Linked DNA regions of Macaca mulatta. The protein of the gene in region 2 interacts with the protein of the main gene of each other region in a pairwise test. Links are inferred from orthologs where the notes say so. Each region holds a gene or a part of one and is shown on either strand. Other genes may lie near its edges. The genes, in order: protocadherin beta-14-like, PSTPIP1 and UBE2W.

Region 1 (4,161 bases), on a different chromosome or scaffold from region 2:
TAGGGCTGCGAGAAGCCGTCCACCAGTAGCACGTGCAGCGTGGCGGTGGCCGAGCGCGGAGGCTCACCATTGTCCTTGACCAGCACCACCAGCCTATGCCTGGCCGCCTCACGTTCGCTCAGCAGCCTGGCGGTGCGCACCTCGCCATTGTGCGCCCACACACCGAACAGCCCGGGCTCCGTGGCCTTGAGTAGCTGGTACGACAGCCAGGCGTTCTGGCCCGAGTCGCCGTCCACCGCCACCACCTTGGTCACCAGGTAGCCCGGCTCGGCCGTCCGGGGCACCAGCTCGGTGCAGGGAGCGGAGCCGTTCTGCAGAGGGTACAGCACGAAAGGCGAGTTGTCGTTAGCATCCAGCACCAGCACGCGCACCAGCGCCTCGCTGCTCAGCGCCGGGGACCCGCGGTCTGTGGCGCCCACGCGGAACTCGAACTCCTGCAAGGCCTCGTAGTCCAGCGAGCGGAGGGCGAACAGGTGGCCGCTGTCTGTGTTGATGGAGACCAGGGAGGCGAGGGGCAGGTGCGGGTCCTGGGACGGCAGCAGCGAGTAGGTGACCAGGGCGTTGGTGCCTGAGTCTCTGTCTGTGGCGCTGACGCTGCCGATGTGCAGGGCGGGGCTGTTGTTCTCGCGGACGAACAGGGTGTAGGAGGTTCTGGTGAAGGCGGGAGCGTTGTCATTGACGTCGGAGACCAGCACGGTTATGTTGTACTCGGTTTTCAGCCTGGGGGTCCCCAAGTCTGTGACGGTGATCGTGATGTTGTACTCTGCTTGGCTCTCTCTGTCCAGTGCTTTTTCAGAAACTAGAGTGAAAAAGTTCTTGAAGGTCGGTTTCAGGAAAAAGGGGAGGTTATCTTGAATAGAGCAAATCATCCTCCCATTGTCTCCAGAGTCTTGGTCTACTACACTAAAAAGAGCTACTAGAGTCTCTGAGGCATTCTCTGGAATTCTCTTTGTAATCGATGATATGGTCACTTCTGGTGGATTGTCGTTTATATCCATAACTTTAACTAGAAGGGTGCATTTTCCTGAAAGACCCCCACCATCTGTTGCCTGAATATTTATAGTGTAGGACTGTATCACTTCAAAATCCAGGGGTGATCTCAAATTAACTTCCCCAGATATTGGATTAATTTCAAATGTTTTACGAATATCTTCTGATGCATGGAAAAATGTGTAAGATATTTTCCCATAGTTTCCTGCATCCAGATCCTTAGCTGAGATGGTGACAATCCAGGAGCCAATGGGTCTATCCTCGGGGACTTGCACCTCATAGAGACTCTGAGGAAACTCAGGGGCATTATCATTGATGTCCAACACCTTAATGAGAACCAAAGTTGTCCCAGACTTGGGCGGGGATCCACCATCCAGTGCTGTGAGTGTTAATCTGAGTTCAGCTTCCTGTTCATAATCTAAAGCTCTATCTAGGACCAGCTCTGGGTATATCTTTCTGTCACTACTGTCTGGAATTTTAATGTGGAAGTGAGAATTGGGGCTAATTGTGTAGTTTTGGAGACTGTTGCTTCCGACATCCAAATCTTGAGCACTCTCCATTAGGAATGTAGTTCCAATAGTGGTACCTTCTGATATTTTAATAAGTATTTCCTTGTCTAGGAATGTAGGGGAGTGATCATTTATGTCTTTGACATGCAGCTCAACCCGAAAAAACTGTAAAGGGTTTTCCAAAACCACCTGAAAATGCAGCACACAGGGCTCGGTGGAGCCACACAGCTCATCTCGGTCTAGTTTCTCATTTAGGAGCAAATCCCCAGTCAGCAAATCAAGGTGCAAATACTTTTTATTATCATCAGACACTACCCGGGCTTCACGTGAAGACAGCTCCTCCACCCCCAGCCCTAGGTCCCTCGCTAGATTAGCCACAAATGAGCCAATTTCTGTTTCCTCTGCCACAGAATAGTGTGCAGATTCAGTATCTGCCCGAGACAATCCCAGCAAAACAAGGAATATTAGAACTTGCCTTTTTCGTAGATCGAGTGACCCTCTGATCTCCATGGTTCCTTTAGGCAACCTCTTGTGGAAAAATTGAAGCTCAGCCCTAATTTTGGAAGCTGAAGCTCTGGTTTTTAATAGGAACCCCCTGGACAGTGTATCCTCCAGCAGCTCTGTAGGCAAAGCTCCTTTAATGCCTGTCTTTTCAGTGGGTTGGATGCTTTCTGTTCTGAATAGCGAAGCTCACTGTGCCAGCCTATGTACAGTTTTCGTCTTATCCTGTAGCGCCACCATGTGTCTCTATGCTTTTCTTTTTTTTCTTTTTCTTTTTTTTTTCATTAAAAAGTTTTCCTCTTTGAAAAAGTAAATCATAAATACATCCGGAACATTCAAAACAAATCCCAGACAACATTTTTTTTTTACCTTTAAATACTTTACTAAGTATTTCTAATAGATAAGGCATTCTAAAAGATAATTGCAACATAACGTTCACAATCAACAACTTGAGCAATAATTCCTCGATGTAATTTATCCTGCATTTGGTTTTCCCCAGTTCTCTCCAAAACGTCCTTTGCTGATGGTTTGTTTGAATTTGAATCCAGAAAATGTCTATACACTGCATTATCACTGTTTTGAATGCTCGACACTAAAGGATCTGTTAAAATATTCTGAACTGAAGAAATAATTTTTTATTTAAGTCATTTCTTGAGTAATTACAAATATATTCTCTCTTTCACTCTTGTAAATACTTGTTGTCAATCATAGTAATGTCATTACTTTTTTCACTTTCATATTTTGAAAATACAAAGAAGGACATGGCACAAATAAGCTAGAGATAATCCTTGCTCTTATGGAGCTCACAAGCTAGAAAAATTGGCAGACAAGTAAATGAAGTATGTCGTAATGTATGCATTTGTAAAAAGTAATATAGAAATATCTAGAAAGGGCTTCTTGTACCTATGGGCTGCATACTTTAGTGCTTAGGAATATGGGATCTGGAACCAAATTATCAATATTAGAATCCTGGTTATGTAACTCACTATAAGCTTGGGCAAGTTATAGATATCTTTGTTTCCTCACCTGTAAAATGGGGTAATAATAATATTTGCCTCCCATGATTATTATCATAGGCATCTAGTGAATTAATATTTACCAAGTGGTTTGTAAGTGCTGGTTAAGTGTCTGTCAAAAATAAAATAATTAAGATCTAAATAGGACTTGGGACATCAGTGAAAGCTTTCCTGACGTAATGAATAATACATTGTGATCTGAAGGAACTAGCCAGGAGAAGGAGGAATATTTCAGATGGGCATTTTGAGGAACACAGAGAAGTGAAGTATGCCTTGGACTTTAAAAACTGTGGAAAGGGAGGGTCTAATAATGAAATTAGGGTTGAAAGCAGGGTGAGAATGTGAATCATTATACAGGTCATATCATGCGTTCTTGCATTTATCCTAAATGTAATTCAAGTACAAAGATGGGTTTTAAATGTCTGATTAACATGATCACATCTGCATTTAAAAAATCAGTTTGGCTGAAGTATGGAGAATTAATTTCAGGGGGAAAGACTGGAGAATCAAGGAGATCAGATAAGAGATGATGGTAGTCTGGAAGAGGATAATGCCAGTGCGGATACAGAGAAGAGGGATGAGTAGAAAGGTATGAGGAGATGAAATATTTTCAACTGTTGGTTGATAGGTTGCATGGGGAGAAAAAGGGGAAAGACTCAGAGATGATATCACACCTCCGGACTGGGAAACTCGATGACTAGTGGTGTCATTTGCTAGGACAGGGAATGCTAAAAAAACATGATTGGGGTGCAAAAAGATGAAGTGTCAGTTTTGAACATGCTGATATTGAGGTAAGCGCCTGTAGGATGTGTGTTTGTGTGTTTGTGGTGTGTGTGTGTATGTGTGTGTGTGTGTGTGTGTTTGCCTATAACCAAAGCATAGGAAATAAACCTGGGCTGACGATATGAACTTTGGGATTCATCAGTATATATGTGTATATATATATATGGTGATTGAAACCATGAATGCTCTAGGATAACCAAGCAGAAGTGTGTCAAATAAGTATAGAAGAGGCTTGGCACAGAAGTCTGAGAAACATCTTCATTTAGAGGAGACAGGGCAAGAAGCATATCTGAAAAGATAAAGAAGGCTCAGAGTTCAAAACCATGAAATCAAAAGCAAATAGCATTTTAAGGAGACGAGGA
Region 2 (4,356 bases):
TCCTCCCATTACTTCCTTCCCCAGTTGCTCCAGCCCATCACCAGCATGGCCCTCCATCCGGAGCTGCCCTGGCTGGACAAGTGCAATTGGGAAACGAAGGCCTCATGTGTGGGAGCCTTGAGGTTGGCTTTGAGGGGTGGGAGGATTTGCCAAGGTAAGGAAGATCAAGGAAAGCTTGCCAGAGGGGAGGCTGGGAACAGAGCAGGTGGGAGTGGGAAAGGTGCCTCTGGGGAGAGGGAAGAGGCCTGGCCGGAGCGGAAGCCTCTGGGAGGTGATGGGAAGGACACCTAGAGAGGCAGGGCAGGGAGCCCAGCTGTGAAATTTTCTGCCAATAAGAGGGCAGGAGACTTCTGTTAACAGAGGGTCTCTACACTGCTCCAGACCTAGAAGCATCATCCCATCTGATGGATGGAGAAACTGAGCTCAGGGAGGCTGAGCCAGTGCTATCAGAGGTGGTGGTGCCATTGGGAGGGGAGGTGCAGCCTGCCTCACTCTATGGCCTACAAAGTTCAAGGGGATTTTTACACTGTTAGTTATCTTCAGCTGCAAGTAACAAAAAACCTGACTGGGGTGCCTTACAGATTAAAGGTTAGCTCAAGTCCAAGGTTTCTGGAGGTGAGGGCCTTCTGGGGGCAGTCCCATTGCTCTGCAATTCTCCCCAGAGTGTTTCCTCTTGGGTGGCTATTTCAGAGACTGGGTGTGCACCTCTCTCTAAACCCTGGGCATGCATAATGGGCACTTGGGAGCTCAGCTATTTCATCTGCAGCAACTCTCATCTACTTACCACCCCGTCAGCTGTAAGGCAGACATCAGTGAGGGTGGTGATCTGTGGACAATCCCTGACTCATCCCATTTTGCCAGCCTGCCCTGGGCTCAGGACTTCCTGCTGCATCTTCTGCTGAGGGGGCAGGGCCTGGCTCCTCAGGGCTGGGGTAGGGGTTCTAGTCCAGGGCTCTTCCTCAGGTGGTACCACACAGTGCCCCCAGCACCTGCACACCAAACTGGAAATTCCAGAAATATTCTTGACACCGTCTCCTTTCCAAAGACTGGGTGTGGCAGATGAGGAAGCTGAGGCTCAGCGAGTTGGAGAGTCTATTAAGGTCCCTCAGCCCTTGAAGGGTAGGGTCAAAATGAAAAAAAACTGGGCCTCAGGCTGGGTTTCCAAACACCCTACTCTGTACCTTGATAATACTGTTTCTCTCTCCGTCTATTCCCATTCACTGAGCCGGAAGTCTCCATCTTCAGAGGGGGGTTTTCTGCCCCAAACAGTGTCTAATCAGGAGACTTGCGGCAGTGGCGGTGGTGGGGGGTGGGGGGCAGTGCCGGGGCCTCAGGCTGTTCTCCCTCATCTTGCTGCCTGCTCACCTCACCTCTGTGTGCTCACAGCCCCCCAGAGCACAGCTGTGTCTGCCCCCAGACTGTGGGACCCTTGAGGGCAGGACCTGGTTCGGGTCCCGGAGCAGCCGGGTTTTGATGCATGACAGATGCCCTAGGCCTGGGTAAGCCCCTCAAGAATGGTTTGCTTGTGCGGGGTAGAGAGCCTGGCATCTCTGGGCCCAGCCTGGAAGGGCGCTGGGCTGGCTGGCCAGTGACACACCTGGGGTTCCTGGGCCCCTCCTGGCCACACTGTCGGTGGGCCTCAAGCTCCCTTAGCATATGACCTCTGGAATAGTGAGCCCGCGCCTCTGGAGGGGCAAGCAGAGGCAAGAGCAGGATGGCAGGTGGCAGGCGGGGCTGCACAGGGGAGCACAGCAACTCCACTTCCTGTGGGCGAGGGCCCCGCGCCCGCCCGGGGGGAGGTTGCACAAACCTTCCTGCGCAGGCCTCGGGCTGCCTGCCTGCCTGGCCTGAACTCCAGCCTGCCTCTTCCACTGGCCACTGCCTCCCACACAGGGCTGGCATCCCTGTTCCCTGCTCTGGGTCCCAGACTGTGTCCTCCATCACCGCAGGGTCGGCGAGGGGCTGGGCTGGACACCAGGGCCCGCCCTCCCATCACTGAGCTCCACTCCTTCCTCATTTTGCTGCCGATTCTAGCCCCAAACAAAACAGGTTGAGCCTTTTCCTCCCCTCGGCAGCTCCTCTCTGGCTCATGGCTGCCTTCTGAGTGCTGCAGACGGCGCCGGGCGGGAAGGGGGGCCTGGGCCAGCCCTGCCAGGACTGGGACGGTGCTGCTGGCGCCTGGCCCTCCATCAGGCCAGCCTGTGGCAGGAGAGCAAGCTTTGCCGCGGCAGACGCCTGAGGATGATGCCCCAGCTGCAGTTCAAAGATGCATTTTGGGTGAGTGAGGATGGTTGGGGGCACTGAACAAGTGGAGCGGGCAGAGCTAGGCTGAAATCTCCATGCAGGTGATGGGGTGCGGCTCTGAGAGGGGAGCTTTCTCATAAAATAGTGGTTGATTCTTGGTCTTAATAGTCATGGAGGTGACCCGGGCCCCCACCCTTCTGGATTGGAAGGCAAGTGGACTCCATGAATGAGGGTCCTCCTTTCTGCTGCCCCAGCTGTATTCTCCTCTGGGAGACCTCTCCCCACAGCAGGAGCTCCTCAGCAGAGGGTAACACATGGGTGGGGGCTTGAGGAGGATGTGTGGGGCAGCAAAGGAGGGGTCACAGATTTAGAGACCAGACAAACTTGGGTTCAGGTCTTGGCTCTGTTACTTATAGGCTGGGCAAGTCATTTCTGTCTCTGAACCTCAGTCTCTCCATCTATATAATGGGGATAAATAAAAATCAACACACCAACTAAAGCATTGGATCAGCAAGGGGATCCAGTGCACTAAAGACCCCAGCCCCTTGCCTCACTCCAAATGGTAATTCTCTTTCCCTCACCCAGCCCCTTGTCCCTTGCAGACCTTAGGGATCCTTCAAGGAGGCAGCCAGGCGGGCAATTGCTTGCTTACTTTCTTAAATTCAACACAGGCTTAAATCAAGTCATTTCCCCCATGAAATAAGGGCGCCCAGCCAGTGGTAGAGGTAAAGTGACTTGGCCCGGGCCACGTGGCCTGCAGCCCAGCTTGGACCCCCGGATCATCTCAGCATTTTTCCAGCTGTCCTTCAACTCCCCCTCTGCCCCTCAGCTCCAGCTGTGCCCAGGGCTCTGGGGAAAAGCTGAGACCTCTCTGGTTGGAGCTGGGGAATATGGCTGTCCTGGGGTGCTGCCTCCAACCCCGAAGAGGACTCTCTGGCCCTCGGCTCAGCCGGCTGAGCCCCAGCCAACTGCCCTGCCCTCCCTGGGCCCTTTCCTGGGGCTGCAGCCAGGAGGATGAGAGCCACGGAGCCAGGCCTTCCTTCCCTTCCGGCCAGCTCCACTTGGGGCCTGTGGCCAGCGTGTGAATGTTCTGCTTCCTCTGCACTGACTGCACAGTAGGCAAAGGACCCCACATGGGGAGGGCACCCTGTGCCTTTCTGGGCCTCAGTTTCCCCATCTCTACAAAGACAGGGTGGGCGCAGCCCAGAGAATCGAATGGAGGCAGAGCTGCCTCAGCCCATCCGGAGGACCAGGCACCAGGATGCTCAGGGCCCAGGCTGGCAGCTGGAGCCCTGGGTGGTGGGGGTTGTGAGTCACCACCTTGCTGCCCTGCCTTGGTGTGCAAAGTTGGGGGAAGGGGTAGGGCCTGGAAACCCAGTCCACTCTAGCCCAGGGCAGGCCAGGACCCCTTGACTATCTTATCACCGAGACCTCTGTCCAGGCCCAGAGCCTAGTGCAGAGCTGGGCAAGGAGCAGCCCCTATGGCAGGATCTGGGCACAGGTAGGGGTGGCGTATAAGGGATCAGGGTGTGGCAGCAGCAGCAGAAGCAAGCAGCCAGCGCCTGTGGAGCTTCCTGAGCGGCATCCTGCCCACACTCTGAGCTCGTCGCACCTCTGGGCTTCCTGGTCTCCAAGTGCCTGCTCTCCTCTGTGGCTGGCTTCCTGGGTCTGGGGTGGGCATATAGTTTCCCTAGGGAAGGCCAGAGCAGGAAGGGGAGAGAAGTAGCCAGTGGGAACCTTTCACACTGAGTCTGGGCCGACGCCCCGAAAGGTCACTGTACGCATCAAGGCATCACCTGCCCCAGGGCTCTGGATTCTAATACCTCTTCCTGATGCTCAGCCCATCCCAGTGCATAACAACTAACATTTGCTGAGCACAAAAGATGTGCCAGGCGCTGTTCCCAAGATGAATGCATATTCACTCATTCAATCCTTCAAACAGATGCTACTGTTCTCTCTCTTATTCAGATGAGGAAATTGAGGCACAGAGACATTAAGAGACTTGCGCAAGGTCACACTGCTGGGATTAAACCCTGGCAGGCTGGCTCCAGCACCTGTGTTGTCGCAGGATCCCTCTATCTTTCATATCACTGGATCTTTTGGCTTCGGGGT
Region 3 (3,647 bases), on a different chromosome or scaffold from region 2:
ACCTATCATTTAAAAATGAACTATTATCTTAAAAGTTCTCCAAATACTAATTTACTAAAAATGACATTCAGTTCAACTTGGAGAAAAGGGAAGAAAATTGTAAAACACAAATAGCTCCCTAACCTCTAGGGCAAAGCTGTTTAAAACAGAATGCAAAAGGAAACCCTCATGGGGATTTAGGAGGGGTTTTAAAATGTAGAAATACATAAATGTTATGCTATACTAACCCTTAAGCAGGAATGACAAGAAGGTCAGAAGTGCACAGAGGATTCAGACACATTTAAAGGGTATCCTAAACTTATATATATATATTTTAAAAATTTATTTTATTATTATTTTTTTGAGATGGAGCCTCGCTCTGTTGCCCAGGTTGGAGTGTAGTGGCGTGATCTTGGCTCACTGCAACCTCCGCCTCTTGGGTTCAAGCGATTCTCCTACCTCAGTCTCCTGAGGAGATGGGATTACAGGCATACACCATCACACCCAGTTAATTTTTGTATTTTTAGTAGAGACAAGGTTTCACCATGTTGGTCACGTTGGTCTCGAACTCCTGACCGCAGGTGATTCACCTGCCTAGGCCTCCCAAAGTGCTGGGATTACAGGTGTTGAGCCACCATGCCCGGCCTACATTTTAAATTTCATAAGTGATTTTTTTCTTTCTGTTTTTCCCTCCCCCCACTTCCATTAGACATAGAATCTGTGGATTAATAAAGGAGAACAGGAAGAAACATCCTGAAAATTCTACTGGTAAACTAGTCTTCCTCCTTCAACCTAATCATTAGGACAGGAAAGCTCTGGTTCCTGAAAAATTTCCTGAAACAGGCTGATAGGGTGGGAGCTGGCAGAGGGGAGAAGGAAGCTATGATGCACTTTTCTGAGGCTTTCCATTGTGAAATCTACAAAAAGAATTTCTTGTACACGTTTACCCTGTGCATGCTTTTGGGAATAAAATCAGATTTAAGAACATACCGTACATTTCCTGTTTAAAAAAATATAAAACAGTAAATCTGGCTTCTACCCCATTCAACATGTAAAACTTCTATTTGGAATGAAAGGTATCAAAATAACTTTTGAATTTATTACTAAACATGAAATTCCCCATAATTTTAAGATAAAAAGCATAAGTCCTTCCTCTAAATAAAGAGAATTACATATTAAAATTATTTATCTACTTAAACTGAAAGAAGAAGAGATACTATCTGGAATAATTCTGAAAAGTCCTACCTTTTCCTTGCAGCTGGAAAGCATGCTAATAATGCTAAGACAAACTGATTGGACTGAGAGTGCTGGGGACCAGTCTTCTGTTAGAATGGATAAACAGATATGACCATTGCTATAAACATGAGGATGAACAGGAATATTTTCACCAGTAAACATGACCTAAGAGAGAATAAAATTCCATTAAAACTCAAATATTCTCTATTACCAAAAACTAAAATATTCTCCACATATAACAAGTATTCATTATTAAAAAAAAAAAAAAAACCACCAAAATCAGTGCCAGGAACATGATAAACAACTGCTTATTTGTTTACTCTCATTAACTCAGTAAGTATTGGTTTCACTGAATGAATAACCACGTAGTAGGGAAAAGAAGCCACATTATTTTTTATTTCTGTTATTTTTGATAAATTATCCTTAAAAATTCTAAAGTACTACGTATTTTTCACTAGTGAAAGACAACTACATTTATAAGAATGATTTTTCAAATTCTCTTCATTGCTCTCTGCATATAAAAATCAAGTATGTTAAAATTCCAAACAAAAATATTCAATTTTGGGAAAATATGAATGACAGGTGGTAGGAACACTCCTACTACTACTACCTGTTAACAATGTTAGCTCTAAGGTGCATGTGGCAAAGGGAAATGATTGTTATACATTCCACCTCGTCTAAACTTACACATCCATTATGATGGGCACAAGTTACTAGCTGTTAATCAGTAAATACCTACGTGCCTAGACGAAAAATACAAAAGTTGACCAAGTCTCCCAATTTGCAGTTCTACTCTCCTTTTCCTTTTACTCAATTCTTCTAACACTACTTTTCCTTTCTCTATCTTGTCTCAGCAATGTTTTGAATGGTAATAAATCTATTATTTCATTCCTTTGCTCTAATAATTCAACAAATATCTTACAGTAGTTTTTCTTAAACTTATTTACCTAAGCAAATAGGCAGGAGAATAAATTCATGTATCCTGAGGAATCTGTAAGCATAGTCCAAAGTTGCTCAAAGAAAGCAGAAGTCTTATGTTTACACTGTGTCTGTATTTATTCTGCAGGTTAGCAGTAGTTCCTAATTCCTGACCTTGCCAAAAAAACAAACAAAAAAACAAAACAAAAAAAACCACATAGCTGGAATATCTGCTTAAAAATACAAATTCCAGTGTCCTACTTTCACAGATTCTGATTTAGTAAGTATGATGAGATTTTTATAGAACTCATCAGATATAAACCAACAATTCCTAAATCAGATTTACAGTATCTCTCTCAGCCCTGCAAACCGCCTCACACCAAGTACAGCAGAATATCAGTAAGGAGAAATCTTACCTTAAGTTGTAGCACAAACAATAAAAGATATACAGTATTGCTTTAGGCATACCCTTTTTTCTCTTTATAGAGCAGAAAAAAGAACCAGTGAGGTAAATATGAATAGAATAAGGTATGCTATAGTTTAATATGGAATATGTTATAGGAAATTACCATAAGCTAAGGTTTTATATATATTTTCAATATCTAGCTATGAATCTGATTTTGTTACAATTTTACAAAGATTTACATGTTAATAAAGCAGTCTTTCATATGAGTAGGAGTCTTCTAATATTTCAGATATATTAACCTATGGGACATATTTCCTTGACTAAGACTAGATAAGACAGCAAAGAGCATTTTTTCCCCAAAGGAACGATTTTCCATATTTGCATGTATTTCTTTTCTTTAAATTCTGGACATCAACCCTCCATTCCCACTAATTAAAAAAAAAAGCTAAAAAACAAAAGTAACGTCTCAAAATAAGAGAAATCAAGTCACTTATCCTACCTAACTGCAGAAGACTCCCTGAAAGGACTTTGACTTTGTAATGGCTATGCTCTAAGCATGCCATTTATCTCAATTACATCTATCAGTGCTAGTACCCTCTTAATTACTTTTTGCTAAAAAAAAAGTACTGTTCTGTAAAAGAAAACAAACGCTTAAATGGTCTTATAGTTCCACACTGGAGTCTGTCCACAAGTGTTTTTTAGTGAAATTTTATTTTTAATAAATATGAACTATAGTTTATTACATCATATGCATCTGATATTCCCATGTGTTGTAGATGTACAGAATGGGAGTTTACAAATCTTACGGATACATGCCTTGGGGTATTCATTTTGCCATAAAAAGCCATTTGATAATTAGGATATTTTCATTAAAACACAAGCAATACCCAAGAGTTTCTTCTTTGGCCACGATTATTTTTTTTAAAGATATTTTTCGGTGTGGCTCATGCCTGTAATCCCAGCACTTTGGGAGGCCAAGGTGGGTGGATCACCTGAGGTCAGGAGTTTGAGACCAGCCTGGCCAACATGGCGAAACCCCGTCTCTACTAAAAAACACAAATAATTAGCTGGCAGTGGTGGCACGCGCTTGTCATCCCAGCTACTTGGG

What was found.
Region 1: the proteins of PSTPIP1 (region 2) and protocadherin beta-14-like interact in binary tests that used the Homo sapiens proteins (3 or more experiments, as listed by UniProt). The two-hybrid records come from large-scale screens. The link is inferred for Macaca mulatta from reciprocal best matches to the Homo sapiens genes PSTPIP1 and PCDHB14.
Region 3: the proteins of PSTPIP1 (region 2) and UBE2W interact in binary tests that used the Homo sapiens proteins (3 or more experiments, as listed by UniProt). The two-hybrid records come from large-scale screens. The link is inferred for Macaca mulatta from reciprocal best matches to the Homo sapiens genes PSTPIP1 and UBE2W.

The regions. Positions count from the first base shown.
Region 1 is NC_133411.1:150,060,022-150,064,182, reverse strand, and holds the start of protocadherin beta-14-like, read right to left. Parts: upstream 2,913-4,161; 5' UTR 2,010-2,912; coding exon 1-2,009. UniProt on the Homo sapiens protein: Potential calcium-dependent cell-adhesion protein. May be involved in the establishment and maintenance of specific neuronal connections in the brain.
Region 2 is NC_133412.1:55,136,161-55,140,516, forward strand, and holds the start of PSTPIP1 (proline-serine-threonine phosphatase-interacting protein 1), read left to right. Parts: upstream 1-1,473; coding exon 1,474-1,499; intron 1,500-1,765; exon of another isoform or gene 1,766-2,075; coding exon 2,076-2,277; intron 2,278-4,356. UniProt on the Homo sapiens protein: Involved in regulation of the actin cytoskeleton. May regulate WAS actin-bundling activity. Bridges the interaction between ABL1 and PTPN18 leading to ABL1 dephosphorylation.
Region 3 is NC_133413.1:84,394,068-84,397,714, forward strand, and holds part of UBE2W (ubiquitin-conjugating enzyme E2 W), read right to left. Parts: intron 1,381-3,647; coding exon 1,225-1,380; intron 1-1,224. UniProt on the Homo sapiens protein: Accepts ubiquitin from the E1 complex and catalyzes its covalent attachment to other proteins.